Linked DNA regions of Mus musculus: region 2 is reported to be linked to region 1. Evidence: microRNA targets listed by miRTarBase, many of them from high-throughput screens and not tested one by one. Region 1 holds a microRNA gene; the other region holds the end of a gene's coding sequence.
The links. Region 1 holds the annotated microRNA mmu-miR-497a-5p (CAGCAGCACACUGUGGUUUGUA, at 11,517-11,538, shown strand). A microRNA usually pairs through its seed, bases 2 to 8, with sites in the 3' UTR of a target mRNA and lowers its output. Matches are read on the target gene's strand: a 7mer-m8 pairs with bases 2 to 8, a 7mer-A1 pairs with bases 2 to 7 and ends in A, and an 8mer does both.

Region 1 (15,906 bases):
GTCATCTGTGAACTGAAGAGAACACTCCCTACTTTTTAGAGCTGCCAGGGATTAAATTAGTAAGTTTGTGCATTTAACATAGGATAAGTAATTATAGCTGATATTATTTTTGATAGGGGTTAGACTGTATTGGAAGGTGACAGAAACTTCTGCTTAGTTTCTGTATTTTCCTTTTTTTTTTTTTTAAATAACCTAGGTTATGGACTTGTATAAAATGAAGAAATGTAAAATAAGAGCATTAGACTGAAGAAAAAAACTCAACCATGTCCTATCGCTGGTGAGAGTACTTCGGAGATCAACTTTGTCTTTATGACATCTGAGGAAAGTCCATTGGTGACTTTTGGCCTTGGGCTGGAACACACCTGTGCACCCTGGCCACACAAGTCATGGGAAAAGACACACGTACTGGACGTTAGATAGACACCAAGATGCTACCAAGGGGAGGTGCAGCAGGCACATAGGCAATAAGACTCAGCCTTCCCCTTGTGGCTGCTCTAGCCAGCCTCTGGTGTTTTGATGGGACCCGAGTCCTAGCCATCGTCTTTGGTGATGGTTGTGTGTGAGGAGGTGGGGTTGGGTTGCTCACCAGCATTTAGAACCTGAGCTAGCATAGATGCACTTTCCAGGTTTTTCCCTACTTTCTCCTCGAAGCCTCCCCACCTCAGTCAGGAAGTGACTTCAGACCGGCAGGATGCAGGTGGTTCCGGAGAAACTTCATGAAGTCACTGGTTCCTACACAATGAACCGGAAGGCTGGGGCAGGGAAGGAGAGCAAGGACCATAGAAGACCGGTGGGATGGAACAACAACGTGATGAACACAGAATCCAAGTTATTAGTTTCCAGAACCTCTTTCCAGGTCCCCAGGTTCCCTGCCCCCAACACACACGCAAACACAATCCTAGGACACAACAGATGGCACAAAGAAGGGCTTCTTTATTCCAAGAATCTGATCTTGCAGCATCTAACATCTCACCCTGGCGCTTCCCACGTGCCCAGCCAGTCTGCTAAACAGAAATCAAACCACCTTCTCATGTCTCCTCTGTCGGCGCCCCCAGCCCACACACAGTTCAAGTCTGCATTCAGGTGATAGGGCAGTTAGATGGGAACAGGAAGAATGAATGGCTTTCTCACCTGTCCCCAGCTGCTGGCCACAGGGACCACCTTCATTCAGGAGTCTCTGTCCTATAAATTTAAGTCGTTTTACCGTTTACCCAAGTACTATAATCAAATAGGTCCCAGGGCAGCAGGAGCAGGACTGTACATCGAGGCTCCCAAATACTAACATTCCAGACACTCCGTCTAACCATGAAACTCCATCCCTAACATCTTTATCTACCATGTTCCACACCAGAAAATGCAGCCCTCACCAACCTTGTAACACTCTCTGGTAACTTGTTCAAGTGGAAGGGGCCTTTGGCCAATCCATCAAAGGCTTTTAAGTATATAATCCCAGCAACAATCCCCAATGACAACAAATGCAGCATTGAAGGCAGCCCTCTTTTCTTCCGGTGTAAAGTCCTAGTACATTCACTGGTCCCAGACAGGAATGGAATGTTGGGTAGTCTGAGTCTCAGACCCAGATTTTCTAAGTTAAGAAAGCTACCAAGCACCCATGAAAGATGAACGTTTTGGAATCTGGACACTTGCCAGAAGCTGTCCAAACACAAAACAAACAAACAAACAAAAAACACATTCAAAGAAGGAGGGCCAAGGGACATTCAAACCCAGCTGTTCATGCAGTAAAGGACTCAGACTCCGAGTCAAGGAATGCCATTAATTCTCTCTAGGTCATAGCATTCTCAGAACCCAGACAGATAAGAAACGGTCCTGTAGTCTCTAGTAAGGATCTTCAGGAGATACTAAGTCAGGCCCGGTGAGAGGATTATGGGTTTAATACAAACCCTTAGGCAAGCTTGGTCTGATGGATGAACTTAGTGCATTCGAACCCAGGCAAACCGTTGATGCTGGGCCTCCTTGGTGGAGACAACTCACCTCCATTTAGGAAGATGCGGGCTCTGGCTCCCACCTTCCCAGCCTTCAGGGGGAGTTTATTATCTACATTTTGGGTTCATTACAAAAGGTTCCCATCACCCTCAAAAAGCTGAAAGGTTTCTTTCCATGTCTGGCCTGCTACAGGGCTTTCATCATCCAAAATACCAAAATTACCCAACCTTCGATATTCTCAGGGCTAAGCCCAGGAAAACTAAAGGATCCAGTTCTAGAACTGGAGAGAAACCAACAAGCAAACAAAGGGAGGGAAAGACAGGACAATTCCAGAAAGAAAAGTTAGAAAGGAAAAGGGGGGGGAAAAAACAAAACAAAACAATGTAAGACACTCAAGCCAAAGGAGAGAGCCAAGCACTAGGTATCTCTGCCAGCAGAGTGGTGCCCTCCCCTTCTGTGTTTCCAGTCTTTTTTGATCACACTTGTGGAAGAAGAAAGTCGGAAATGCAAACAGAATAAAGGCCCTGGTACCAACTACAGGCCTCAATAAATTATATTTACAGATAAACCATTTGAAATGGAGGGGGAAGTTCCCTTAAAGAGAGCAAGTCCCCCCCAACCCCCCAAGCCCCTAGCTACCCAATCTGGATTATGAGGAAGAGGTTTTGACCAGCAAAACAGAGGCAGATCTAGCCAGGATCTGCCACCTCCCGCTCTTCCCCAGTACAAAATTAAGGTGTCAGCAGTTTCTAATACCAGGGTAACCCGGCACACCCCCATATCAGGACCATCAGGGAAATCAAGCCTGAGCCTACAGCTTTCACTGCCCCTAGGGAGCGAAGTTTGGCTGGGGGTGGGGGGGAACTCAGCTATGGTCCCCCGAGGATGTGGTAGCGCACTTTAGTGTTGGTAGCTGCCCCGTGTTTCTGACGCAGATGCAGCCGCAGTTGACTCTTGTGCCGAAAATGCAGGCCGCAGGGGTCACACTGTGGGAGGACAGGTCTGTCAGGTCCCAACCTTTCCATAACCACCTTTCATTTAGGACTCGGGAACTGTCTAGCTCTCCGCTGACAATCAGCCTTTCTATGTCCTCTGGGGGCGCCCAGGAGATAGGCCTTGCCTTTCTTAACAAAAGCATCAACAACTGTTAGGTCCTTGGGACAACAGCACCTAGTCCAGGCACATAATTACCTCCACCCCTTCTCCCGGGTGCAAGCCTCTGATTCACTAGGGCTCTTTAGGCTGTCGCTTATTCCTAGCACTTCTGGCAAGACTCGTCCCTGCGTATACGAGGGATAATTCCATTATTAGGCTGTATAGGGTACCCACGTGGTATGGCTTCTCCCCGGTGTGGATGCGAACGTGGCTTTTGAGGGTCTGTAGATGGCGGAAGCGGGTTCCGCAGGTGGGACACGGATAGGGCTTCTCTCCGGTGTGGATGAGCACGTGTGCGCGTAGGTGTGCCACCTAAAGGGCAGAGCCTTGAGATCACCTTGGGGAGGGGCGGAACCCTCTTCGCTCCTCCCATTTGCCTTCCAGCCTTCTCCTTACCTGAACAAAACGCGAGCCGCAGGTCTCACACTTGTACGGTTTCTCTCCGGAATGGATGCGGCTGTGTGTTTTTAGGTTAGCAGGTCGGTTAAAACGTGCTCCGCAGATGGAGCAGCGGTAGGGCTTTTCCCCTGCAAGTTGGAAGACAGTCAGATCGCCCTACGGGAGCGGTGGTCAGGAAGACCAAGACCCCCTCCTACCTGTGTGCACCGTGCGGTGACTAGCCAAGTTGCCCTTATAACGGAAGGCAGATCGGCACAGCTGGCATTTATAGGGCTTGTCCTCGTCCCCTGGAGCTAAGAGCTCCAGCCCCGATGAGCACCCAGCCACAGCCTCACAGTTCTGGCAGCTGAAAAACTCACTTCCTAAGGGTAGGGAACAATGACAATCTTAGTTATTTACTGAGGACTCCCCCCAGGTACCCATAAATCTACAACAGTACACTAGTAGGGTCTGCTGGCCCTTTTAACCCCTAAATTATTGTGGAGGCTACTGGCGGTCACTTGGCTTGTTCGTGGCCAGTCAGTCAGTAAGATACGACTGATTTAGTAGCATGCTGCTAATTTCAATGGTGCTGACAGTGTGTGGAGTGGGTGGAGCTTTCTGTTTCTTTCCTTTCTTGCCTCCTTCTGGCTTGCCAGAGAGGCCCTGCCAAACTCTGGGCAGATCGTTCAGTCTTGGATTGGGTGGGCCAGAAATTCCCAAACTGTGCTGCTTTTTGGAAGTACATAGAGAGCTTAAAAATATTTATGATTGGTCCTCACCCTCAGACATTCTGACTGCTGGGGTGAACGTTACCCAGAGGGGGTCCAATGCAGTCAAGTTTGGGACTATTCAATAGGTCTATTCTGAGGTCTTTTTGGTCCAAATCGACCTGGATCAGCTACAGGAGAGAAGCCAGAAGAGAAAGCCTCTTACCTGGCGGTGGATTAGCCTGCTTAGAAGCTGGCAGAGAAGTCTCTTGAGCCCGGGGTGTGAAGAGGTAGGAGTTATTTGCTAGAGCTCCACACTTGAATCGTGCAGTGGTAGTAGCTAGAGATAGTCTAGGCAGAAGTTAAGAGCCATAGAAAAGGTTAGGGATTGGGGGTGGGGCACTGGCTCCCCCCGCCCTGCCCCTTTTCTGGAATATACAGACTTCAAGGCCTGTCTTCTGGAAGTGAGCCAATATTGATCATTAAGTCCCACCTTTGGCCTTTGGCCAACTCCCTAAGCTGGGTTAGTATCCCTGAAACCTGGTTCAGAGGGTGCCACAATGGCCTACTCAATGGCTCTGCCTCCTAGAGTGGACCAGACTCTAAAACTCTTGGGAGTTATAGATTCTATACCTGCTTTGGAGACCAGGCGTGGTTCCTTCTTCACTGCTGCTGCTGCTGCTACAGGCTTCATCTCCACTAGGGAGCCTGGCCTGGGGACAAGGTTGACCTGAACTCTCCCCAACCAGGCTTCCTGCTTGTGAGGTCTGAGAATTTAGCACAATAAATTTGTATTTTTTCCAGTTGCAGGCCTTGGGGTCTGGGCTGGCTGGACTTGGGGAACCTTGACTGCAGCTTCGAGACTCAGTAGGTGGGTCTGGGTGTCCTTCTGAGCGCCTGGGACTGCCTGGTGGAGCGACTGTTGGGGGTCTTGGGGGTTCTACCTCCACAGGTCGCAAGGAGATGCCTAGAGGTTCATAGCTAGAAAAAGTAGGATGATCATTAACACCGTCTCCTAGTCGTTGCCTTTGCCCTTATTCCCGGCACTAGTTCTGCTAGGGAGAATACAAATCCATGGTTCCTTTACCTGGCTTGGATGAAACGGTGACACGCCTGGACTACGTGTTCCATCTGCAAATAGGTGGCAGCTGCGAGGACAGCTGGGGCAGTGGCTGGAGAGAGGCGAAGCCTTGAAGTATACATGAAGTCCAGAAGAGGAGCAAAGCCTCTGGCTTCTGGCCCCCCCGGCAGAGAGAGTACATCCACCCCGAGTCCCGCTCGGCCCCGGAAAATTGAATAGAAGAAGCCACTGGAGAGAGGGCAGATGGGTTGGTCATGTTAGGAGCCGGGAGACCAAAGGAGAGTCTTGCCTCCCCACTAGCACTGCTGCCTCAATTTTTGGATGCTCTCCCAAGCTTCCCCCTCCCTTCTTCCTTCCTCCCCCCTTCTTACTCTCCAGTTCTGGGATTGCCGGTGTGGACCATTATTCCCAGCTTCCCTCATGCTTTGGATTACCTCTCAACAGCCATGTTACTCTGTTTTTTCCCCAGTTAGTCCCCAGGTGCCCTACCCCCTCGAACCTGCAAGCGATAAGAACTGCCTTGTGCGCTCTTAGGGGTTGCCCGCCAACCAGCAGCGTGACGTCAGTGAGGATCCCGCGCAGGCGCAGCTCATTCAGATTGCTAAGCACGTCGGAGGAGTGGCGGGTGAACTCTCGGACGTAGCCCAGAGCTCCCTCTGGGGCCGCTGTGGAACCCATAGCGACCTAAGCCTGCGACAGCCACCGAAAAAGTTAGAGGATCTAGGCATTACTAAAACAGATTCCTTTCTTCTCTGATGTTTTCTACCTGGGATACCCCTAGAGCCAACCAACGCCATCAGATAGCGGACTCAGCATCACCACTTAATTCCTCTCGTTCATTCTGCCCTAAACGGTTGCTTCCTTCCTTCCCTTTGCTGGATCGCGGAGATCTTGGAGCAAGTTAGAAACTCTCGTTCCACCGCTTGGAGGGCGAGCGTGAGGAATCCCGCACTCCCGCGCGCCGTGCGTTGGTTCGACTCTAGTTACCTCATCCACTACCTTCCTTTCCTCTGCTCCCCGGGCGCCTGGGTCACAGGTACCAGACTTTACCTGGGGGACCAAATATGATCTGCAGCCCACACCCATCTACGCGACTCCTATCGCTAGACCCAATACTTTCCATCTCTTCTTAGCACAGTTCCTGGGGTTCAGGTCTTATTACTATCAACTAACCCCAAGCCCTCTTTGGAGACTCAGAAATCTGATACCCTCAGGGTTTGGTTCTTACCCCTGTCCCGCAGGGGCTGCGGCTTCTCTTCTCGAGGGGGGCGGGGTCTCTCTCCTCTTTCGGTCTCTGCTCCTTTATTCAGCCGGGATGGCGGGGGCGGGGGTGGAGGTGGGGTGAACCCGTGAGTCTGTATCCTTCCTTCCTCTGAGGCTCTCCAGATGGTGAGCCCGGGGCGGGGTCTCCGTTTCAAACTGTATCTCAGAATCTCGGGGTGGTCGTATCGTGGATGGCTTTGGTTCATTAAATAAGCACCCGAGGATGAGGATATTAGAATTGGGGAGGTTAGTGGTGCGGAGGGTGGTAATATGGGAGGCTTATGTCGTCGAAGGAGCTGGGACAGCGAGTATTGGAGTGTTGGGTTTTGGAGGCGTGTGCCAACAGCCAGTTGAGGGAGAAAGGAAATATCCTAAAACTCCTCTTTCTAATGTATTGGACTCAGGAAGAAAATAGACAGTCCAAGTGGTATCGGGTTTGGGGAGGCATTAGTGGACTCCAGTGGATCTCAGATAGTGGGAGAAGGAGGAGTGATTGACAGGCAAGGTCCAGAAAAGGGGGAGGTGGAGCTCTGACCAGGCGGGGTAAGGAGAGGGCGGATATGATTTCTAGTTCGTTTCCTTCCATTGTCCTGAGACCGGACGGCTCCTGCAGCTGCTTCCCCTCGAGGAGGTGGGGAAAACCCCGGGTGGGGACCGAGAGACGCTCGGGAGACCTAGGCGTCCGGCCTCCTACTCTCGACTCTCTTCTCAACCCTTATAGGGATCCAGAGATACAGACTCCCGCCTAAAGCCCTGACGCTCTCCATCAGTCCTAGCTTACTAGGGCTTCGAGCACCCGCCCGTCGGCTGCGCTTAGAGTCTGGCGGGACGCCGGGGTCCAGCGCGGCAAGTAGGCAAAGCTCGGCAATGTCTGCATCCTTCCACGAGAGGGCGGTCGAGCACCAGCCTCGCTTCGCCCCTAGGTCTCCTGGCTGGTGATGTGCTCAGACCAGTGAGCTGGATGCATTCGGTCCAGGCTACAGGAAACTTTCAGCTGCCTTCTCTTTCTGATAGTTTCCTCTGCACCTCTGTCTCTTTGTGGGGCAGTAGATCGAAGACAGAAGAGTTAGGGTCTCCGCAGGAAATTCAGGCTAGAACTCTTATGGAAGGCTTTGGAATGAACATAGTGGTTAGGATGAGATGGGGTCTTGAGCCTGGGAACACAGTTGTTTTGTTTTCTAATTTGATAGACCCTTCTACCCAGATGTTTGTAGACAGGAATTTTCAATGAACATTAATATGAGCATTGGTCGGAGTAAACAGAGAGGACAGAGGAGAAAGGGCAGGAGGAACCTGGTAGCTAAGTACTTCATTCAGAAGCTAGGCAGGGACCACACCCTTAGATTTTGTTTGGGGAGCCTTGGGATAGAAGGACAAGTTTCCTTTGAAGAAGAGGGGCAGAGCTGAACCCAGGTACAAAGCAGGAGCTCTTTGAGTTTGGGGTTTGGAGCATAGCAGTTGTGCAAGAATGGACCAGCATATCTAGGCCTGAGGCCTCTCCCTTCTGTTCTTGGGGGTGGAGTACATTTTGTTTGTTTTATTGGTTTTGATTTTTTTTTTTTTTAAGCAAACGTAGCAAACAAAACTGCAAACCAACTGGGGGTTGGGGATAGCTAGGGACCCTGGATGACGATGTGGCTTTACTTTGTGAAGATTATTTGGTCTCTATCCAATTTTCATCTCCAAATTTGAGGTGAAAACATTAAGGGCTTTGATGTCAGGACAGAGTTAGCTATTCTGAGTTTTGGGGTGTCACTTGCCATAGAAGTTATTGTAGTCAATAAGGCCTGTTTTTAGTCTCGACAGCTGATAGCAAATTGGAGGTGCGGGGCTGGTTTTAAAGATGTCTTAGTTCGGGGGTTTGGAGGGATTTGATGCTCCCATGTGAGACTGTCCATCTCTAATTTCTGGTCTACTGGGGGAGCATGAGTACGCAACTAATTTGGGGGACATAGTCTCTTTCCAAGTGCTGTTTCAAGGTTTGGATGAGATTGTTTGGGGACATAAAGGTCAACTTGGGGCTTTTTAGAGAGCCCAGTTACATTGAGTTGGTGGCAGAGCCAGAAGCTAGGAGAGGATCTGAAGGCTTTCTGTAGCTGAGAGCTTGATTGATGGGGGGGCAAAGTTTTGTATTTGAATCTTGTGGAAACTCATTTTGAGGGTTGGATATTCCTGTGAACATGTTTATGTGTGAAACTCCTCCACAGGAGAGAATTGAGAAGCCCCCCCAGGGTAGAAGGATAGTTTGGGGGGTATCCAGTTTCTGGGTGTTTTGCCACTGGCCACATTTGGTGAAGCTGAGAGGTGGGTCATAAATTGAAATTGATTTGGAGGTTCACCTATTCTAAAGCACACTTCTGACTTAGGTTATCTTTTGCTGATAGTCCCCTGGCACCCCAGATTGTAAAAAAAATTAGTGAACCCCCAAATAAGGCCAGAATTTGAAGGGTGAAGCCTGGAAAAAGCAGTGTGGTCCATCATAGACTCACTGGAATATGACCTGTTGTGCTAAGGGGGGAAAGGTGGCTTCATACTCTGAACCCCGATTTCTTATGGAAGAAAAAATCCGTTTGGAGGAGATGGGGTGTCTCTTGTTAAAGTGGGTACTTTCTGACTAACAGTGCTGCTGAAACTGGCAAGGAAAGGCTGTGATGGTCTACAAGGGGGGGGTGAATCTTGCACCCTGATATTTTAAGATAAGAGCCCCAAAGAGAAAGCAGACAGAGGATTGGGAATGAGGGTGAACTGAGAGGCGGGGGAGGGGTTTCCAACGGCAGCAGGGGCTAGAGGGTAAGCCAGGCCAGATATTCCCGCCTAGGTCCCTGCTCTCTTCGGCTCTCCTCCCCTCTCTCCCTCCCACCGCCCACCCCCCCAACTCAAGGAAAAAAAAACTGCCTGTGCAATAGCAATGGCAGATTCCAGTCCTCCAGGCTTTCCTAAACCACCACCGAGACCAGCCAGGGGGGAGGGGAGGGGAGGGGAGGATCGGGCTTTCCTGCTTCCTTGAGACAGGGGCAATGAGCTTGACCTCTTGGCCCCTAGCCTTCTAAAGAGTGTCCCCCGGTCTGGAAACCAGGTGTCCTGGACCCTAGCCCCCAAGCGGGGGGGCCTGGAGAAACGGGGAGGAGGAAGGAGGGAGTGACTTCCAAAATTGGCATCGGGACAGAGCAGGGCTGGCGGGAGGCAGGAGAAAGACAGAATTTTCCTGAAAAAACGGGGGTATCTAAGGACCCCAAATTTGGGTAGCTAGTTCAGGACCATCTTCCCAACATCCTAGATTTTTTTGGGATTTTTTGGGGGCCCCGGGATCCCTCTAGATGGGGTGAGGAATGTAGTGTTGGGGGAATCTGACTGGGGCAATGCAGCTGCCTCTCCCGCCGAGTTGGAGACGGATGGGCTGGGACGGGTTTTGGGGGGGTGTCCCCAGTTCTGACTGGGAGTGGAGGAACCCCTCCAGAGCTCTCTTGTGGGGGTCCCCCACCCCAGGGCACTCCCCAGTCCTTGAGCCAGCTGAGAGGAAGGAGGCCAGCGATGCGACTGGGGCGTCTCTTTTCTCCTGCACCCCAAATGTGAGGGATGCACCCCAAAATTTGCTCCTTTCAAAATAGGGGACCAGGATCTCAGGGGAGAGTAGCTGAGGTAAGTGGGGAGGAAAGTGTCCCCTGTTTTCAGGAGAGACGTGGCGGTTGGGGGGGAGGTTTGGAGGTGCGTGCTGGGGTGGGGTTGCGCCTTGTAACTCTTGAAATTGGGGGGATGACCAGAGAAGCTTTCTCTTGTACCCCTAAGACGTAGCACCTCATACTGAAACCAAAGCTTGAGACTTGAGAGCCCCCAATATTCCTACAGACATTAGGACAGTGTTTGCTTTTTTTTTTTTTTAGCCCCACAAAAGCTTTGCTGGGATGGGAGCTGGGGGACAGCAGTTGTTTCTGGGGGTCCAGGAGGGTGCAAGGAGCAGGAGGCGTTGGCAGGGCTTGATATAGGTGATCTGGTAGTCTTGGAGAGGGTCTGGCATACTAGGGGGGCCTAAAAAGATTGCTTCACACACCATCTTAAATCTTTTGATTGCTAAGAGTTTTGGGGGGGTGTGTCGGAAGCCTGGTGGTGCTAAAAGGTGGGATGAGATATGGGAGGTTAATATCTAGGGTTTACAGAGTTTTGTTTTGTTTTGAAATTTCCAGAAGAAACTTTTGCCTTCTGGGAGGTTCTTTTTAAAATCAAGTCTTGGACAGGAGGAAAGGGCTATGGGAAGGCCTAGGGTTGGGGGTGGGGAAAAGGCATGTTTGTCTTTGCTTAAACGTGGCTCTCAGGGGTGGGCCTGCTTGCCTGGGCCTGGTGAATGGGCTAATGAGTGTTGCTGTGTGGGTGGGGCGTGGGTCTTGGGGGACCATGGGGAATGGAAGCAGCACTTGGGGTTGAATACTTTGCCCTCTGGTCCAGATGAGCCTCTTCCTGGGCTCTGCTGCATCCCTTTCTCCCTGGCCTCCATTTCCTGCCTTTGGCCTCCATCTTGTGGCAGGCCCAGGGCCCAGGGCGACTTCCGGCCCCCCTCTCTCAACCGTGTTCCAGCCCCACCACCTCTGGACTGCCAACTCCCAACCCTGCTGTCCTTGGCCCTGTGTCTTCCAGCATTTCTCTTGGGTTCTGACCTAGGGAGGGAGGAATGGACACAGGAAACCTTAGGTCCCTGCCTTTGTGGGAGGCAGTTTGTTGGTCTTCCCCAGTCATCCCGTTTCCTAAGGATCCCCAGAGCTGAATTCCTACAGAGGTGAAGAATGCTCCAAGCTTATCACATTGGACTCATCTGCCAGGGCCCTATCCTTTGCCTGCTAAACTACTTTTGCTGGTTCCTGATTGTTCCCCCCCCCCAGCTTTTTTGGGGGGCCATGTTTGCCATTCACACCTCTGTCTCACTCTAGGTGGGGGTCTTCACGGCACTGCCTGTGCTGTCTTCCTCTCGACCCACCCCAGTCCTGCCCCCGCCCCAGCAGCACACTGTGGTTTGTACGGCACTGTGGCCACGTCCAAACCACACTGTGGTGTTAGAGCGAGGGTATGGGAGGCACCGATGAGCCTGGCCCTGGGAGGCCACCCTGGAGAAGCAACACACACACACACACACACACACACACACACACACACACACCGTCTAGGGTATTGTGATGAAGTTCTTGCAAGGTGGGACAGGAGACACTGGAAAGAGCCCCTCTGCAACCCCCAGGTTGTCTGATACCAGTTATCAGGAACCCTGGTAATGAGTTCTGGCCCCACAGAGCAAAGTAGAGTCTTTGTTGCCCACACCCAACTCTCCTGGCTCTAGCAGCACAGAAATATTGGCATGGGGAAGTGAGTCTGCCAATATTGGCTGTGCTGCTCCAGGCAGGGTGGTGAGAGCTACTGAGAAGGGGCCAAGCCCCGAGGGCGAAGCAGAGGAGAGGGAACGGCAGCTGGCAGCACCATGTTGAGAGAATCTTTTTTAATTATAATTTTCTGTATAAAAATGTCCATCACACAGAAGTCAAAGGGCGAGGGCACATGGTTATCAGGAACGAGGTGGATGGCTCCAGCAGCCCTCTGACCCTCTCTCAGGCAGTCCTTGCTTAGAGTCCCAGGTGATCCACAGGTCCAGGGTGAACAATGAGGGTCAGAGGTGGAAGGCTCAGCAGGAGAGGAGAGGAGCATCAGCGGAGGTGGTGAGGAGGCCAGAGTCCAGGGTCAGGCTGTCTGGAACAGGAAGGAAAACGGACAGAGATGGAGCAAGCGTGGAGGATTTTTCCAAGAAAACCCTCACCTCCTCAAACGCCGTATTACTAACTGACCCATTCCCCTGCACTGAATCTTCCTTCTGAGGCCCCTGCACCAGAAAGGGGTTTTCTGTGGGGACCCTCCCCTACCATCCAGGTGAGTATGTTCCCCACCCCCAGCCAGCGTGGGAGGAGGAGGACTCCTACCCTGGTCAAAGTTGAGTTTCTTGGCTGGAGGAGTTTCTCCTAGCCCTTCGACATCCACCAGGTCACTGTTGGCGTCGGAGTCGTTCAGAGCACTGAGTGTCACATCTGGGAGGGGGCATAGGCTAAGTTCTAGGTTTCCCTGACTGCTGTCTTTCCCTCCTCCCAGTCTGCCAAAGCTTCATGCTCTACACATCCCTCTACCCACTCTGGAATCACCAGCGTACAGAAGAGAAGCGTCTCTCCTTCTTTGACCCAGGCCCAATTCTCTTATTGAATCTCAGATAGGACCTTTAACCCCTACCCTAGGCAGCAACTCCACAGCCCTCACCAGCCTTCTGTTTCTTTATGGGAGGAACCCCAGCTTCAGGGACACTGGAGCTGCTGGGTGGAGGGGCGTTTGGAGGTGAGAGGACACCGGACGTCATCTTCTTGGGTCCTTTCTTGGGTGACTCAGCTGGAAGGGGGATGCCGGAGTCTTCATACACTTTTCGCTTCACAGTGGTCTTTATCTGAGCCCTGAAGATGAGAGAGAGCAGATTAGGGTGTCATCAGAGAAGCCGAGGGAAGAGGGGAGGGGAGGGAATAATGGGCCACTCTGAAGGAATTCTAGGAGTTCCTTTGTAGATATCCAGGTCAAGGCCCCAGTTCATGTGTAATAAGGGTCCTCCCCCCCCCCCCCACGTTCAGAACTTTTGCATCCACTTAGGGCTAATAGATTAAGATGAATGGAGTCCCTGAACTGAGTGGCCAGAAAGGCCCTTTTCATGATCCTCTGGGAGAGATGCATGGTTTTGTAGGACCACCAGGTATGTTGTGGTGACATAAAGGTAGACTGAGACTGTCATAGAACCTGACCAACTAATTAGTTCAGAATGCATCCCCTGGACATGCCAGTTTCAAAGGATTTACATAAATAGCTAGGGAACTCTTATCATCAAACACAACCACTGAGTATCTGGGCACCATGAAAATAAAGTTCTCTGCAGGCCCTAGTGACCACTGCATTTCCTGATCTTCCGACCAACTGCCACAGTGACAGTCTCTCAGTCTTCAAGGAAATGCTAACAAAACTAGGAACAAAGTAGGAAAGATGCTGAGCTGGGAGTTCTGAGAGAGAACAATGGGTCAGGAGGAAGAAAGTTGCCCACCCTCCCCTTTCTCTGCCAGCCACCCTCCCTCACACTGTCCGTTCCTTGATGACACAGCTGATGTGATTAAGATCGTCCCCAAAGCGCTTCACAGCAGCCCTCAGCATCTCTATCTCCGTCTCCGTCCACTTGGCACTGTCGGAAGGGGAGAAGGGTGATAACAAAAGTGGAAGAGGGATGTGTGGAACCAGCCCACAGGCTATTCCGTCCACAGCCAGCAGCCTCTTCCCCCTAGTCTCTAGGGGCACCTTTCAAAGATTCATAAAAAGGACCTCCTTTTAAAAAAAAAAAAGCCCTGGGGACAAATCGCTGGCCACATGAAATTACATCCAGGGCCACTTGAAAACATCACTTCATCATGTAACAGCTTCCATAAACAACCCAACGGAAACCAATGAAACAAGTAGGGGCCTTACAAACACAACCCTTGAAAGATGTGTGGCAGCAGTTTGAGGGAGTCCACAGGGCTTGGGGTAGGTGGCAGACATTCTGTCGGTTTGCAGTGGAGGGCTGTGGCCTCGGTAGTCTCTTTACCTGTCATCCACTAATTCAACAATTACCACCTACACTGAGCTGGGCCAGGCACAGGGGAATTACTCTATCTCCCTGCTCTAGAGAGGGTCGTGTCTGTGACTTGAGTCCAAGCGTCTGATCTCGGAGTCCAGGTCCTAGGCTGGTCTCACGTACCCGGCAGGGGAAGAGTCCGAGACTGGATGCAGCTGCATCGTCAACTCCCCGAGCTTCGTGAAGGCGGCGCCGGCCGCGGAGAAGATCTCTCCAACCTGGGGGCGGAGCAGCATTACGGGGGGCCGGCAGCGCGCCGTCCCACCCCAGCCTCGGATCCGCCCGCCCCCCGCCCAGCGCGCACCAGCCGGGAGCCAGGCAGGGGGCCCACCCTCCCGTGGCCGCCAGGGAGCGCAGTCCGCGAGGGAGGTCGAACCTTGGTGGACGCTGACGTCATGGCCCCGCGCACCTCCTCACGGAGACGCTCCGCCGCCACCACCACCACGCGAGCTGGAAACCACGGAGAGCCCGGCAGCCGGCCGCTCGGGCTCCCGCGCAGGAAGTCCCGCCCTCCCTGCAGCTGATTGGCCGAGACCCGACCTCTCCCCAGTCACTCAAGGGGCCTCGCCGCGCGGAGGAAGACGAGGTGGAAGACGTTGCTTCACTTCCGGCTAGCTTCATTCCACTTCCGTCGGAGGGTCCGGACTCCTCGATGAGGCCGGTCTCAGCCCCTTCCAGCCCGGGCCCGCCCCTCCCTGAAAGCACAGACAGCAAGCTTAGGGGGAACCGCTTCTTTTTATTGTAGTTCAGAACGGGGCGCGGTCACCCTCGGTCTCCTCCAGAGGCTGGGCGCAGTTTTGCAGGGCCAGGGATGACGTCTCGCTAGGGTCACAAGTCCCAAAGGACGCCAGATGAGTGGGACGGAGTCTGCGGAGTCTTTAAATAGAGAAGGGGGCTGGGGAGGGAGAGGCGGACCGCGCTCTAGCGCACCATGTATTCCTTGCGCTTGTTGAGACGAACTTGGCAGAAGGAGAAGCCTCCGAGGAGGAGGTAGAGGCCCGCGGCGATGAAACAGTTGTAGCTGACTTGCTCGTACAGGTTGTATATGTTCTGAGGACCGTTCCTGAAGGTGGCGAGCGAGCAGGGAAATGTCAGCCATTCAGAGCATCCAATATGCAAGTTCTATGCATCAGACACCATGCTAAAGCACTTTAACTCCTATTAGTCTTCCCAAGAAGCATACCAAATGAATTCTATCATGGTAACCATTTTACAGAGGTAGACCAAGGAGCAGGAAGGCAAAATATTGGAAGAGGCCACATCTAAGCTGGTGGGCTTGGGTAGCCATGGAAACGTGGCTTGCAAGACTGCTCCTAAGTACATGCCTTTCTGTGTCTCTGTCTCTCGCGCTGGGGATTGAAACTAGGACCCTGCGTGCTGCCACCCAACTACTTTGTAGAGAGCAGCCCTCTTCTTGAAGTCCCCAACCTAGGGCCACAAATGTCCAGTCTTCAGAAGTGTCCTCCCCATAAACCCAAACCATGCTACTCCTCATCCACGCCCAACTCGCCCAAGTACCCGACCACTTACTCAAAATCTTTCTCTGTGAAGGGAACGTCCTCAATTAACACAGCAGAATGGACATTGAAAAATATCCCGAGCATTATCTGGAAGAGTAAGGAATAGATAGGTTGTCAAATTCTTACCTTACTTCTTTGGTCGCTCCCTAGGCTCCTCCCCTGTCTAATGTTGGCCCAACACTTGCGCCAGAG
Region 2 (15,906 bases), not on the chromosome of region 1:
CATGTAGATCAGGCTGGCTTTGAACTGTCAGAGTCTACCTGCCTCTGTCCCCAGAGCATTGGAATTGAAAGTGAGAACACCACTATGCTAGCTTTTCGTGTTTTTCTTTTTTAAGATTAGTTTTACTGAATTGTGTGTGTGTGTGTGTGTGTGTGTGTGTGTGTGTGCTTAAGTATACAAATACAAGAAGAAGGCATCAGAGTCCCCTGGAACTGGGGTTGCAGGCAGTTTGAGCTGCCCCGTTTTTGTAATGGTGGGAGCTGAACTCAGGATGTCATGAGTTGCTAGGAAAACTTACATCTCAGCCCTGGTTTCGAGTTGTAGGCTACGTGTGTATAATATCACTGTTAGGGTTGCTGTGGAAAGGGGTTATTTGACTCGTGCTTTCATATTCATTATTGAAGTAAGTCAGGGCAGGAACCTGGAGACAGGAACAGGGGCCATGGAGGGGTGCCACTTAACTGGCTTGCTTTCCATGGCTTGCTCAGCCTGCTTTCTTACAGAACCTAGGTCCACCAACCTAGGGATGGCACCACCCACAGTGGGCTGGGCCCGCCCACATCAATCACTAATTAAGAAAATCGCTTTACAGGCTTGCCTACAAACCTGATCTTCTGGAGGCATTTTTCTCCATTGAGGGTCCCTCTCTGATGATATCAGCTATGCCAAGTTGACAGGAAACTAGCCAGCAGGATTACTCACTCAAAAGAGAACAAGAGATGAGGCAGGAGCTCGAACTCCCGATTTCCTGGTCTCCTGGCTTTCCCAAATCCCCTGGAGAGCCATAGACAGAGAGCACGGTCTCGGGCTTCCCAGTCAGTTGGTCCTTTGAGAGCCAACTGGCCAAGGAAGCATCTTGAGAGCACACACTCCCAGATACCCTGACCAAGAGCCAGCAGAACTCTAGGGGAAGTGGTAGGTGCAGTGCAGCCAGATTGTGGTGTGTGTGTGTGTGTGTGTGTGTGTGTGTGTGTGTGTGTGTGTGTGTGTGAGAGAGAGAGAGAGAGAGAGAGAGAGAGAGACAGACAGACAGACAGACAGACAGACAGACAGACAGACAGACACGGGCTTTCCGCATTCTCCATGGTGGTGGACCAGCTATCAACCCTTGTTCGTCACTTGGCTACAGACTGTCCCCAAGGCAGCTCCTGGTTTTCCTGTCCAGTCCTCTCCCGAGCTCACACTTCAGTACCTGAGTGGCTTTTGGGAGGACAGTGGATTGATTGGTTGATTCCTTACTGTCTTCTCGTCTCTGCAGTTACTGTCCAGGCTGACCGAGCGGTTCGTGCAGGGAGTGGACATGTTCTTAGAGACGTTATGGAAAGTTTGGATGGAGCTCTTAGAAGTCCTTGGGCTTGACGGTAGGTACGGGGATGGTTGTGCAAGGTGTTTGGGTTGCGAGCTTTTGTTTTGGGGGGCTGTCTCACTATGTGGGGAGTCTCCGTGTCCTTAGCTGAGAGAACACCAGAGGGCTGAGGGTATGGAGCACCATGGGGAGGAAGGAGCATTTTACTTTTAAGAGCTGAACCTGTGGTCTGTGAAACTTCAAAAGCTGTGTGGGTACCCGGTGGTGGCGCACACCTTCAAACCCAGCACTTGGGAGGCAGAGACAGGCGGATCTCTGTGAGTTGGAGGCCAGCCTGGTCTACAGAGTGAGGTTCAGAATAGCCAGGGCTATTAAACAACCCTCTCTTGAACCCACCCCCCCATCTCACCCCCCAAAAAATACTGTGCAGACAATGGAGGTAGAGCCTGCAGTGATGGTGACCTGGGCCACCTGGAGCCTCTGGAAGCCAGAAGAGGGCAGAAGAGGCTCCCGAGAGTCCTCACACAGGTATGCTGTATGCAGGGCTGTGTGTTTCAGCATGCCAGAGGTAGAGTCAGTAGAGAGGAAAGTCACTTTGGGAGCACAGCCGTGGACTTGGCCTTTTGGCTCCTGGAACCCGGAGAGGGGATGAACCTCACCATCTAAGGTTCATCAGATACCTGGTGTATGGGGCTCAGTTGTGGCAAAGCCAGAAAACAGATATAGTGACGTAACAGGATCCTCTCAAAATCCGTTAGCCCCAGGCATCCTTCTTTACGGTTCTAGGACCCGGGCTCATGGTGGAGTCAGACTGCACCAGCCGGGACCCACATACCACCACAATGGTCTGCTCTTTACCCCTCACCCCACTTCCAGCCTCCACTCACCGAGTCTAACCTTCGAAAGGCCTCACATCAGGTCGTGTCACCTTGCCACTCAGGAAGTAGAGAGGTGGCCCTCAGAATGCTGTGAGGCACGCGGCCCACCCTGGGGACTGGGCTGAGTCAACATATACCCAAACGTTGCAACTGCATGCAATCCTGCCAGGGCTGGCTGCCTCAGCCATGACCTGCTGGGATTGTGCAACTCCGGGTTACCATCCCTGGGCAGTGAGCCTGTGGAGATAAAGCAGATTGCAAGGAATTGCATGCAGTGGGGTCTGGGAGACAGCAGAGCGGGGTAACACAGGACCCTGGGCATCACTGAGGAGACTTGGCCGGGTGCTATCCCCTGATGCCTTGTTTCTGTGCTGTGAGTCTCCCTCTTGGTTTGAATAAGCTGCAGGGCACCGAAGGCCTTTGGGAACCGTGACTGAAGCTCAGAACCAGGGTCGTCTTCAAGGTGGCTGCTCTCAGCTCCCAGTATTTTCTTCCCCATCAGTTTTCAGAATGTTAGTTACAATGGAGACCCCTCTGCTCAGATTGGTTTGATAGCAGTAAGCTTTGAGGTATATAGAGGCACTCTACTGGTCTAGTTATAGGGAAAAGAAATTGGTGAAATTTACCCTGGCATGGTGGCTCATGCCTTTAACCCCCATACTCAGAGGCAGGCAGATCTCTGTGAATTCAAGGCCAGCCTGGTCTATGTGAGGACTCCCCATCTCATCTCAAAGTTGGTGAAATCAATTTTACTATTTCTGTTTTGCTGCTTTTTTTTTTTTTTTGGTCATGTGTGTGTGTGTGTGTGTGTGTGGTTGTTATTTTGCTTTGTCTTTGAGACAGGGTCTCCTGTACCCCACACTAGCCTCAAATTCACTATGGTGGAACCAAGGATGGCCTTGAACATCTGATCCTCCTGCCTCAGCTTCCTGAGTGCTGGGATGACAGATGTGAGCCACTGTAAGCAGTCTGAGGGTAGCTCCTTGTAAAATGAGGAGTTTGAACTCCAGCACCATTTTTATAAAAATGGGTCTCTGTGTGTAGCCCTGACTGTCCTGGAACTCATCTGGAGATCAGGCTGGCCTTGAACTCACTGACGTCCATCTGCCTCTGCCTCATGAGTGCCAGGTTAAAGGTGTGAGCTACCACTGCCCAGCTTGTAAAAATATTTTTCTAGGTTTATTTATTATTTGTTTTTATGTGTTATGGGTGTTTCATACATCTGTGCACTTCATGTATGCAGAACCTAAGGGTCTGTCTGACATTGCCCTGTCTCTGGAGTTACAGATGGTTGTTGGGACTCAAACTAGGTCCTTGCAAGAGCAGCCAGTGCTTTTAACCACTGAGTCATTTCTCCAGTCCCATAAAAGGTGTTTTTGTGTGTGTGGGGGGGGGGGGGGAGGGGTTCGAGACAGGGTTTCTCTGTGTAGCCCTGGCTGTCCTGGAACTCACTCTGTAGACCAGGCTGGCCTGGAACTCAGAAATCCGCCTTCCTCTGCCTCCCAAGTGTGTGCCACTACTACCCAGCCATAAAAGGTGTTCTCAACTCATGAGGATACTAATAGTCCTGAGAGACCACCTGTGCCCCTCAAGTATTTGCTTTATTTTGCTTTCGTTGTGTCGGGTTGTGACCGGAGCCTATGGGTCCGGCCCCAGAGCTCAGCTGTCCTTCCTGCTTTCCGAGAAGGTCCCGACCACGTGGGAATAACTGGCCCTGTCCTCTTTTGCAGTGTCCAACCTGTCACAGTACTTCAGCCCAGCCTCAGTGTCCAACAGCCCCACCCGGGCCCTGGTGCTGGTTGGTGTGGTTCTCCTGGCCTACTGGTTCTTGTCTCTGACCTTGGGCTTCACCTTCAGCCTCCTCCACCTGGTGTTTGGCCGCTTCTTCTGGCTCGTGCGTGTCATCCTGTTCTCCATGTCCTGCGTGTATATCCTACATAAGTACGAGGGCGAGCCAGAGCACGCAGTGCTACCGCTCTGCGTCGTGGTGGCCATCTACTTCATGACGGGGCCCATGGGCTACTGGCGGGGCAGCCCCGGTGGCCTTTGCAGCCCCAGTGTGGAGGAGAAGCTGGAACACCTGGAGAACCAGGTGAGGTTGCTTAACATCCGCCTCAACAGGGTGCTCGAGAACCTTGACCGCTCCAAGGACAAGTGAAGGTCAGCTGCCTAGCCGTCCAACCAGCTAGTGATGTCAAAAGACAGAAGAAGAAGAGAAGAGCCGGCAACCCCACCAAATCCCAACCCTCCCAATAAACTGAGCAAAAACGCCACGCCTGGTATTTCCCACTGTGTGTCGACCTTAGGAGCCACTGGAGGAGAGAGCACTTTCGTAGATCACCAGTGGGAAAGCAGTTTTTAAACAACGGATATACCCCCTGTTAGCTGTGTAGTCGGATAACTTTACCTGTGCATAGAACATAATGTTGATTTTTCTTCCCAAACATTTAAATACATCTTTTGTAAGGTTTTTAAATAAAGGCAGATGGAGTCAAGTTTATCAGAGCTTTGAAGGGAACGCTTGACGTCCTTAAGGAGGTTAAAATTGGCTTGTGGGTGAGCACCGTGTGCAATCTCTTCGTCTTCCCGAATGTGACCTTTATTTCGTGTCTTCTGGGGTTGGTGGTGACCTGGTTAACAAGTGCTGTCTCTTGTTCTTGTGGACACTTGGGCTTCAGAGGATTGGATCCTAGGGATCCTGTGAGCTCTTCGTCCATTGTGCCCCTCCATGTCTATTTCTGTTTTGTATGGTGCTGGGGATACTGAGCCCACCCCCCCACCCTTGTCCATTGTATTTCTGAATGAAGGTACCCACAGACGTCCCGAGATCTCTTTCTCTTCTCTGGACTTCAATGTAGATTAACCCTAGCCTTTCCAGGAAGAAAGGACATGGATGGAGCTGCAAACTGTCTTTGGAGTTTGATGCTAAGAACCGGGTAGGCCCCGAAGATCATTCCAGAATCCAGCTGAATCTCACATTCCCTGTTGGCCAGCGAGGCCCAGATAGCCGGCTGGACCCTCATGGGAATCACTTGTTTCCTTTGCTTCTAATTGACTCGGGACCATAGAAGAAAAAGGAACCGTTCACGGCCAGTAACATCCTTTATTTCATTCCTTCTAGAACATTCGTAGGCATAAGCAACCTTGAGATCTGAATCGTTTGTCCTGAAATTTTTATAATTGTGTTAGGTGCTTTTTAAAGTCTGGGGTCCAGGGCATTGCTTGTTAATAGCTAAACCCCTGGGTGCAGAGACCTCTCTGCCAGCTTCTGTGGAAAGAGAGCTGGCTTTTGTGGGATGTCACTAGGGTCGCCCGTGAGGACTGTGGAGCCACTGAGTCCCAACTTGAGCTTGGAGGGGGACCCAGCTGATGGCAGCTCTGGTGCCGTATGTCTGTGAAGTTCTGTCTTTGGTTACAGGTATCTGTCACACAGATTTGGGTCTTTGAGGATGTGGCCGAGAGAGACCTCTGTTCTCGAGGTGACAGGCAGTATGGGACTCTCATTTTCTTGAATTTCATTCCCTTCTGGAACCGGTACTGGGGAAATCTCTCCACAGACATTGGAAATCCACAACTTGTGATGTGAAACATTCCGATTTTGTTGTTTAGATGCTCTAGGCATATCTACTCGCGGCACAGGGTGGAAGTAGCCGAGAAGGGGCACCTTGGCTGTTAATATCTTTCCTTCCAGATGTCTGGTCATATCATACTAAAAGATTACTTTTCAGATGTTGGCTAGGGGGCAGTCACTCTCTGTAAAGCTAAACCTTCTTGCCTTGGCTCCTCTCAGTGGCCACTTGAGATGTTGTAGGTCGATTCCTATACAGTCCACTGTAGCTAAGACTGCAACTCCACCCAGTATTCAGGAGGCAGAGGCAGGAGGATTGCTGCTATTTGAAGGCCAGCCAGGTCTTAAGTGGTCTATTTCAGGTCAGCCAGGGTTACATAGCGAGACCAAAAGCCAGGTATGGTAGCACAAGAGAGCAGAGGCAGGCACATCGGAGTTTAAAGCCAGTCTGGTCTATGTAGTGAGTTCCAGGACAGGCAGTTTTAATACACTGAGACCTTGTCTCAAAACAATAGCAACAAAAAAGGTAAAAATCTGCAATATTTTTTTCCAGTCTGACCAAATGTAGACTCTAAAGCCAGTTTTATAGTTGAATATATATAATGTGTATATACATATATATGCTATATATATTCATGTATTATTTGTATATATACACTATATATATACATACACAAGATGCCTTCATTTTAATTTTTACATCTAGTTATTATGATTTTTTGAGACAGGGTCTCATGTATTTAAGACTGGCCTTGAACTTGCTAAGTAGCTGAGACTGGCCTTAAACTCTCCTGCCCCCAGCCCGAGTGCAGGAATGATGTGCACATGTGACTACGCCCCCATTGTTCGAACGCCTTGGGGTGAACGCGGCCTATGCATGTTAAGAGAGCACTCAAGAGTCCAGTCCTGGATACCTTCATTCTTAGTGGAAGAATGTACAAATCAGAGTAGAATGTTACTTGAAATTCTAGTAGTTTTTTTGTTTTTAAAAACTTCAACCGGGCGTGGTGGCGCACGCCTTTAATCCCAGCACTCTGGAGGCAGAGGCAGGCGGATTTCTGAGTTCGAGGCCAGCCTGGTCTACAGAGTGAGTTCCAGGACAGCCAGGGCTACACAGAGAAACCCTGTCTCGAAAATCAAAAAAACAAAAAACAAAAAAAAATAAAACAAAACAAAACAAAAAAACTTCAGATGGTGTTACTGTGTTTGATGCATATATTTTAGCTTGTTTGTTTGTTTGTTTGTTTGTTTGTTTTTCTTTTTGAGGCAGGGTCTCTCTACATAGCCCTGGCTGTCCTGCAACTCTCTGTGTAAACCAGGCTGCCCTCTAACTTGCAGAGATCCACCTGCCTCTGATTGCTGGTATTAAAGGTGTTGCACCACCATGCCTGGCATTGTTTGGAAGTAATCATAGCCCCCAGTAGTTAAAGATTTTTTTCTTTTCTTCTTTCATTCCGTGGACAGCTTATTGGCCTCCCTTCCCTTCCCCCTCCCCCTATCTCTTTTGTATGTGGAAAGATGTATTTTTGTACCTTATTTCATGCCTTATCTTCAGGGCTGTGTACAACTCCTCCTTAACCGAATAACATGATAAACATTTGGACAGCAGCCACTGTGGATCTATTATAGATAAGGGGCGGGGCAGGCGATATGGCTCAATGAAGAAAGGCACTTGCCACCAAACCTGAGTTTGATTCCCGGGACCAACATGGTGAAAAAAGACAGACCACTCCCACAGGTTTCCTTCTAACCTCTACGCATGGGCTGTGGCTTCCCACCCCTTGGCCCCAATAAATACATATATACTTTTTTTTTTTTAAATGAAAAGATAGTGTAAGGATTATAACTGTCTCAAAGTCAGTATTAACTCCCTGGTGGTCGTCTCTCATATTAGGTACTTGCTTTACCGAGGACAGGACTGGTTGCCTCTGAAGTGTACTGACTGGGCTTAGCTTAGGGTATTGGGGTTGGTGATTTTTGATGGTGGTGTTTTATTTTGAATTATTTTATGTATATGGGTGGTTTTTTTTTTGTTTTTGTTTTTTTTGTTTTTGTCACACTTGTATGTCTGTGTACCACGTATTTGCCTGGTGCCTGCAGAGAGGAGAAGAGGGTGTCAGATCGCCCTGGAATTAGTGATAACTGTCAGCTGCCTTGTGGATGCTGAAAAAGTCAAACCCAGGTTGTTTGGAAGAACAGCCGGTGTGCTCTAACCACTGAGCAGCCTCTCTGGCCCTATGGTTCGGGGTTTTAGAGATGGCATCTCTTGGACTCCTGACTGGTCTCGAACAGGCTATGTGGTGGAGAAGGACCTTGAACTCCTGATCTCGATCCTTCTGGATGCTAGGATTAGAGACAGATGCTAACACATCTGCTCGGGATGGAACCCCGGGCCTCCTACATTTTACATAAGCGTTCTACCAAATTAGCCCGGTCCCAGCCTGTAGTCAGTGTTTGTATAGTGGTCTCTTCCCTTTTCTAGTCAGGAGGCTGTTGGTATAGCACACAGACACCTTTCACAGACTCACTTCCTGTTGTTGCTAGCATCCCCCACCCTTTGGGCCCTTTGTTGAGGCTCGACCCTCTTTCTACTGGCAATAAGTGTGGAAAAGAATGTCCTCACAGCTGGCCTTTTGACCCATGATAGGGTCCTCTAATTCATAAAAGTGACCCAGGGACGAGCCTAAGAGGCAGCCTGGGGATGAGGCTCAGCAGGCCACAGGGGGTTAGGAGCAGAGCTGTGAATAAGCAACCAGGAAGGCATGTCTTTCCTAGGGACCTCATGAGAACCTCTGAGGGAAGGTTGGGAGCATTGTCCTATGGCCCTGGCACACTCAAGGGCCCTGTGTGTGAAGAGCTCTGCTTGCTCACGTGGTCCTGTCACTCCGGCCTGCTCACAGATGGCTCGGAAACAGCGTGACCAGGAAGCCCGATGTGCTTTGCAAACCCAGGACTCAGTCTCCAGATAGATAGGAAGGTGCTGAGTTCAAAGCCATCCTGGTCTACGTGGCAAGACCCTGTCTCAGCAAACTAACCCAACATGTTCAAGAGTCAGCACGAGAATCTTTAACAAAGCTCCTCTGCATCTTGTGCTTGGTAGGCAGCCTGAAGCACTTCCCTTCTTCACAAGCCCTGTTGCTTTGGTCTGTTCTGAGACAGGGTCTCAATCTAGCCCAGGCTGGCCTCGAACCTAGAGATCTGCTCGCCTCTGCCTCCCAAGTACCAGGCTTAAAGTTGTGCACCACCATGCCCAGAAAGCCAGCATTGGTGAGCCTGGTGCGCACCTGGAGCTACAAGGAATTTCCAAGGCGACCCTCTCAGCCTCTTTACCTTCAAGTCCTGGGCTCCTGAGCTCTGCCCCCAGCATGAAAGCTGCTTTCAAAGCAACCTGTGATAATTCTGTAATGTTTTTGAGTTTGACCATTTATGTACTTGGGCTTTGGGCTCCTCACCTGTGAATTGTAGATTTCTATTTTGCGGGTTTTAACCCAATACCCTTGTCACTGGCTGGCATCAGCAAGCTTCGGCCTTTTTGCTTCCTTCTGTGTTTTGCTCTTTGGTGGTCCTTCCATAGCTAGGACAGACACGGAGAACCTGTCTTTCAGTCCTGATGGCACAAACAGCACATTGTTGCTGCCACCGGGACAGCTACGGCAGCCAGTGGCATGCCCGACTCTCCGCCCGATGTCTCTGCGGATTTCAAGCTTATGCTGTTGTGTCAGTTTCCTGTCTGCATCTGTGATAAATCTCTAAATATCCTGTAATTAAATTAATTTCTAGTGACAGTGATCAATGTGCAGTTAAATCCCCCAAGAGGTAATTATTTCCCTGTTTTTAGCTGCAGATTAAAAAAAAAAAACACCAATGACTTCTTCACAGTTGAGTTTCTGTTTTGTGTCTCAGCTTAGGAAATTTTAAATAGTATTTAGTTTGACACAGTAGAAAGAAAGCCATTCCGTGTGAACATAGTGGGGTGTGTGCACACACGCACATGCGCAAACATTAATTGGGAAGCTGATTCTACGAATATCTTATATAGGGAAAAAAAAGCGTCAGGCTTAGTATTTTTTTGCAAAGTGATGGATACATTCCTCTTATTTATTAATCACTGGCTTGATGTTAGAGGTCTTTGTAGATCGACTTTAAGAATTGGATTAAAATATTGTGAACATTGCGGCTTAATAAATGTTTACTGTGGTGATGTTCAGACTCCTGGATGGATTTCTTTACTTTGGTGAGGCACTTGAGGCAACCTCCAGAATTAGAGAGTCATTTTATGGCTTTGGTTTATTTCTTTATCTTAATGTGTATGACTGCTTGGCCTGCGTGAGTGTATGTATACTTTGTGTGTCCCTGGTGCCCTTGATGGTCAGAGTCCCTGGAAACGGAGTTACAGATGTTTATGAGCCGCCATATGGGTGCTGGGAAGTGAACCCGGGTCATCTACATGAATAGCAAGTGCTTTTAAATATTGAGCCATCTCTCCTGCACTAAAGATTAATTTAAAAAAAAAAAAAAGGGCTGGAGAGGTGGCTCAGCGGTTAAGAGCACTGACTGCTCTTCTGAAGGTCCCTAGTTCAAATCCTAGCAGCCACATGGTGGCTTGCAACCACCCCACCCCCCAACCCCCGTAATGAGGTCTGGTGCCCTCTTCTGGAGTGTCTGAAGACAGCTACAGTGTACTTGCATATAATAAATAAATAAATCTTAAAAAAAGATTAAGTTATCTGTATGTGTATGAGTGTTTTGTCTGCATATGTGATGGCACCATATACATGCAATGACTTCAGAGCCCAGAAGAGGACATTGGATCTCCTGAAGATGGAGTTACAGATGACAGAGAGATACTGTGTGGGTGCTGAGAACTTGGGGTTCTCTGCAAAAGCAGCCAGTGCTCTTAACCACTGAGCTATCTCTTCAGCCCCATCATTTATATTTATTTATTTTATTTTTGAGACAGACTCTGACTATGTAACTCTGATTGTTCTGGGACTCACTATGTAGAACAAGGTAATCTTGAATTCACAGCGACCCATCTGCCTCTGCTTCCCAAGTTCTCGGATTAATGAAATGAAGCGCTACTCCTGGCTATTTTAAAAATTATTATTATTATTTTTGTTTGTTTGTTTGTTTGTTTTCGAGACAGGGTTTCCGTGTATAGCCCTGGCTGTCCTGGAACTCACTTTGTAGACCAGGCTGGCCTCGAACTCAGAAATCCGCCTGCCTCTGCCTCCCAAGTGCTGGGATCAAAGGCGTGCGCCACCACCGCCCGGCTAATTATGTTTTTATGTGTTTGTAATTGATTGCCAAGAACCCAGACGAGGGCTGGGCAGGTGGCACACTTTTTTAATCTCAGCACTTGGGAGACAGAGGCAAGCAGCTTTCTGAGTTTGAGGCCAGCCTGGTCTATAAAGTGAGTTCCAGGACAGCCAGGGCTATACAGAGAAACCCTGTCTCGAAAACCAAAAAAGCCGGGTGTGGTGGCGCATGCCTTTAATCCCAGCACTTGGGAGGCAGAGGCAGGTGGATTTCTGAGTTCAAGGCCAGCCTGGTCTACAAAGTGAGTTCCAGGACAGCCAGGGCTATACACAGAAACCCTGTCTCGAAAAACAAAACAAAACAAAACAAAAAAACCCAACCCAAACCAAACAAACAAACAAAATCTTGAGGGGGAATCAGATCCCTGGGAGCTGGAGTTGTAGATGTTTGTGAGCAGTAAGTGTTCTTAACTGCTGAGCCATCTCTCCAGTCCAGTTTTAAGTTATTATTTTGTGTATCTGTGTGTTTTTAAAGTTTTAAAAAATTTGTATTTAGTATGGGGTGTGTGCGTGAATGTGTGTGTGGTTTGCTCACATGCACAGATAGCAACAAAGTACTGCTGAAGAGTTGCAGAGAGAGGTTGGGGTAGAAACCACAGGGGCAAAGATAAGGTTCCGGCTGTGAAGCTATGAAGACACACTGTGGTCCTTGTGGAAGCTAGTAAGCATTAAGATCCAAACCTCTGGTTGCTAAAAATTCTGGGGGGCGTGGTGGTGGCCGTGGTGGGCAGCGGAGGAAGCCTGGAGCCCTGGCTTCTGCCAGCCTTTGGCTTCAACAAGTAGTGACAGCAGGCAGATGGTGCCCTCTAGCGCTGCAGGGATCAGTGTTTGTACCCTTAACCAGCGTGTGCTCCCGGAGCTAGCGTGCTCCTAGGTAGTTGAGATTTTTCAGTCTTCGGGTATGCCTGGCTTTGTACCAGACCTACCAGGTAGGAAGAGTCTGAAGTTCTTTTCAGTGGCCAGTGCTTCCAGCTCTCCTGTGGGAAGTTGGGATACTTTAGCTCGTAACCTCTGCCTCGCATTACCAGTTACCAGCGTTATAAGGTTAGACCTTGGGGTCACACCCTTGGCCCTGAAGGCTTGCCCGATTTCTGCAACACTTCCAGTTAACCCGAGCCTACGGTCTCTAATTTTCTGCCTTCTTGCCTCCTTACTCCCTTGGGTTACATGAGACCCTACCTTGGAAACAAATGGGGCCAGTGAGATGAGGTTAAGGTGCCTGCCAACGAGTTGACGCCCTGAGTTTGATCCCTGGGACCCACATTGTAGGAGGAGAGAACTGACTCCCCTAAGTTTGTCTTTCTGACCACTACATGTGGACTATGGTACACACGAACCCACCTACTTACCCGCACATGCTTGGGAAGTGAATATAATAAAAGTACATTATGGGCTGGAGAGATGGCTCAGCGGTTAAGAGCACTGGCTGCTCTTCCAGAGGTCCTGAGTTCAATTCCCAGCAACCACATGGTGGCTCACAACCATCTGTAATGGGATCTGGTGCCTCTTCTTCTGGTGGGTCTGAAGATAGCTAAAAGTGTACTCATATAATAAAATAAGTAAATTTAAAAAATACATCATGTACATGTGCATGAAATTGTCAAAGAAGAAATAAACAGAATTAATATCAGGAGTGCTTATAAACAACTTACCATGAACAGTAATACCGGTTTTTATATTTTGAGACAGGATCTCAGTGTAGCCTTGGCTGGCCTCAAACTCAGCTTCCTGAGTTTGTGATAAAACGCATGCACCGCCACAATAATAATGATTTAAAACAATTCTCTAATTGCTTAACACCTGCCCAGGGCCCCAGGGAGAGATGAGTCCCTCCTATCTGTCTCAGTCTCAGACTTGTACTTGTGAACCTTGTTGCTGTCAAGGAGCTAAGGCTCTGACACCTGAGGCTCTTGAAAGCTGAAGCCCTGGAAAGTAACCCCCTCCTTTGCTACACACACACCACACACACACACACACACACACACGCACACGCACACACACACACACACACACACACACACACACACCAGGCTGCCAGTGCCTTCTACCAGAAGAAAAAGCCCTCAGTCACAGCCTCTACCCTGTGACCCTCTGTGGCCCTCCGAGCCTTGGGCACTCAAAGGGGGGGGGGGACCACCAGACCGGAAAAGTATCCCCTCACCCAAAGGCATCTCTTCATCTACCCTCCGTAAGTGGTGCTGCAGGGCCCACCGCCTGAAGTGATCACCAGCAGTCTGACTTCTAGAACTTGGAACAGTCGTCCATCCCTGCAGGACTCTCTGTACTTGTTTCAGAATCTAGATGAGTCTTCACCCTGTGATAATCCAAGAGTCACACTGTCCCCAAGGCCAGTCAGTACATGGCCGGACATGGGCCATGGTGTCTGAAAATATTGATTGGTGTGGGCAGAATACTTCTAGTGTTCTTGTTTGCATGGGGGGGGGGAAATGTAGGTAGATGAAGGGAGAGATGCTGAGGTAGTGGGTTTCCAGGAAGTCTGGCTGGCAGCAAAAGTGGTCACTCTGTGCCCCTTTGAGTGACAGCTAAGGCTCCCTGTGGTTCCCTCAGCTTGTACCAGGCACTATTAAGAAGGGATTGTCTCTATCTTTTTCTCTTTTTTTTATTTTGTTTTTTCGAGACAGGGTTTCTCTGTGTAGCCCTGGCTGTCCTGGAACTCACTCTGTAGACCAGGCTGGCCTCAAACTCAGAAATCTGCCTGCCTCTGCCTCCTGATTGCTGGGATTAAAGGCATGCAACACCACTGCCTGGCTTCCCCCCCCCCCCACCTGGGTTTCTCTGTATAGCCCTGGCTGTCCTGAAGCTCACTTTGTAGACCAGGCTGGCCTCAAACTCAGAAATCCGCCTGCCTCTGCCTCCCGAGTGCTGGGATTAAAGGCGTGCACCACCACGCCCGGCTACTGCCTGGCTTTTATTTTATTTTATTTTATTTTTTAGATTTATTTATCTCATGTATATGAGTACACTGTAGCTGTCTTCAGACACACCAGAAGCCATTGGCTCCTATTACAGAGGGTTGTGAGCCACCATGTGGTTGCTGGGATTTGAACTCGGACCTCTGGAAGAGCAGGCAGTACTCTTAACCGCTGAGCCATCTCTCCAGGCCCTGGGATTGTCTCTGTCAAGAGTAGGGAAATCGTAGAGTCCTGGAGGCTGAGCTCCAACCTCAGCAAACAGTGGCTGGTTCCTCTGGAACCAGCTCTCAATCACACCACCTTCCTGGAGGTAGGACAAAATTTTCACCCTTTTTCATCCCAGGACAAAGTGTGGCATTTGGGGCTTTTTGTTAGTTTCATTTATTTATATTTTAATAAGGTCTCAATTACGTAGCCAAAGCTAGCTTTGAACTCACTGTAGGAAGGAGATTGACACCCCCCCCCCATTCCTCCCCACTTAGAAGAAAATTAACAAGAAGGCTGCAAGCCCTTCAGGTCGATTTTGTGTCAAGCCAATACATCTGATTGTCTTAGCTAGGATGGGAAGGGTGAAAGTCAGGGAGTCTGCTTTCACTTGGGTCCACTTAAGGCGCCCTACCCACCCACCTCCACTGGCTTTTGCTCACCCAAGGGCCATGCAGAGGAAACAGTGTGGGCAAAGGCTGCCGTTCTTATTCTACAGAGTCCCAATGTCACCTCATCCTATTCCATTTGAAACAGTCCCCTGCTCTGGTGACCCAGCCACACTCTCACTGTCCCCTGGACCATACTGTAAAGCACTGGGCTGTGTGGGTCCCCCTAAGATCCCCAGGTCCTCCATACATGGTTCTGGCTCTATCTTTGCTCAGCATGCATACCTTAGCACGCAAGTGTCTAAACCCTTTTTGGTCTAGGCATGCAAGTCAGTGCGTACAGAGCTCACCTAGCATACTGGAGGTGAGACATACCTCCCACCCAGCACATGCAAGGAGGATCAAAAGTTCAAGGCTAGCTTCGGCTACATGTCGACTTTCAGGCCACCTTGGGCTGCATGAGATCCTGTGTCTCGGAATAAATTTTAAAAAGTTAAATAAGCATTTTGTTGGAAAGGGCAAATACCAAAATATATTGTACGGAAAAAAATTCTTATGTAATGCAAATTCCGAGAAACAAAGTTTTTCTAAATTTTAAAAAGAAACTATTTTCTCAGAATCTCGGGCATCCACCCAGGGCTAGGGTCCAGGGTTCCCAAGTCTTGGCCTGTCAGGTTGTCAAGGCGAAAGCGGCGCCTAACCTCCCTGGGCTCCGCCCCTCTGCCTAATTCTTATTGGGCACGCCCTTACCGGGGTCCCCTTCAGGATTGGCTGAGAGATGCAGCCCACGCGCAGGAATGGCATGTGATTGGTTGTCATTCAGGCCGGTTCTTCCCGGGGCCGCGATCTGGGCTGATGTGGGGCCAGTCCCGCACCAGCCAATCAACGCGCCAATCGCGTGTGGCGCGTGCCTATGCTCAGAATCCCTCCGCCGGGATGCGGCAGGGGCGTGGCTACTTCAGTCCGGAAAGAAGTTCCTTGGGGCTGGTGCAGAGCCTTAGGTCCGCAGCAGTCTAGCTTTCATTAGGGCTGCGGATTACCTCTGTTGCAAGCACCTGAATCGCTTGCTGGAAGCCCTGGGTTCCAGCACTAGCATCCTCCAAAACAAGAAGGTAAATAAATATACAGTTAAAAGAGAAATGAGAGACGCATCCCTAAAACAAGCAGGTAATAGAAGAAGTTGTGTGAGTGTGTGTGTGTGTGTGTGTGTGTGTGTGTGTGTGAGAGAGAGAGAGAGAGAGACCCCTAAAACAAGTAAATTAAAAAAAAAACAATTAAAAGAAAGAAAAGAGAGGGAAGCCTAATATACA

Region 2: miRTarBase lists Bri3bp as a target of mmu-miR-497a-5p. Seed matches in the 3' UTR shown: 8mer at 6,070-6,077.

Annotation. Positions count from the first base shown.
Region 1 is chr11:70,223,214-70,239,119 of GRCm38, forward strand. It overlaps Mir497 (microRNA 497), which reads left to right and starts at 11,504; the gene lies at 11,504-11,587. It overlaps 0610010K14Rik (RIKEN cDNA 0610010K14 gene), which reads right to left and starts at 14,701. Exons shown (of 6, transcript NM_145758.1): 1 at 14,571-14,701; 2 at 14,318-14,412; 3 at 13,664-13,765; 4 at 12,811-12,998; 5 at 12,483-12,587; 6 at 11,991-12,251. The coding sequence starts at 14,591. The coding sequence ends at 12,247. Mir497b (microRNA 497b) reads right to left here and starts at 11,603; the gene lies at 11,479-11,603. Mir195a (microRNA 195a) reads left to right here and starts at 11,829; the gene lies at 11,829-11,922. It also overlaps Bcl6b, Rnasek and Gm40191.
Region 2 is chr5:125,450,412-125,466,317 of GRCm38, forward strand. It overlaps Bri3bp (Bri3 binding protein), which reads left to right. Exons shown (of 3, transcript NM_029752.2): 2 at 1,259-1,361; 3 at 3,915-10,474. The coding sequence ends at 4,342. Gm40325 (a long non-coding RNA gene) reads left to right here and starts at 14,155. Exons shown (of 2, transcript XR_868516.1): 1 at 14,155-15,708.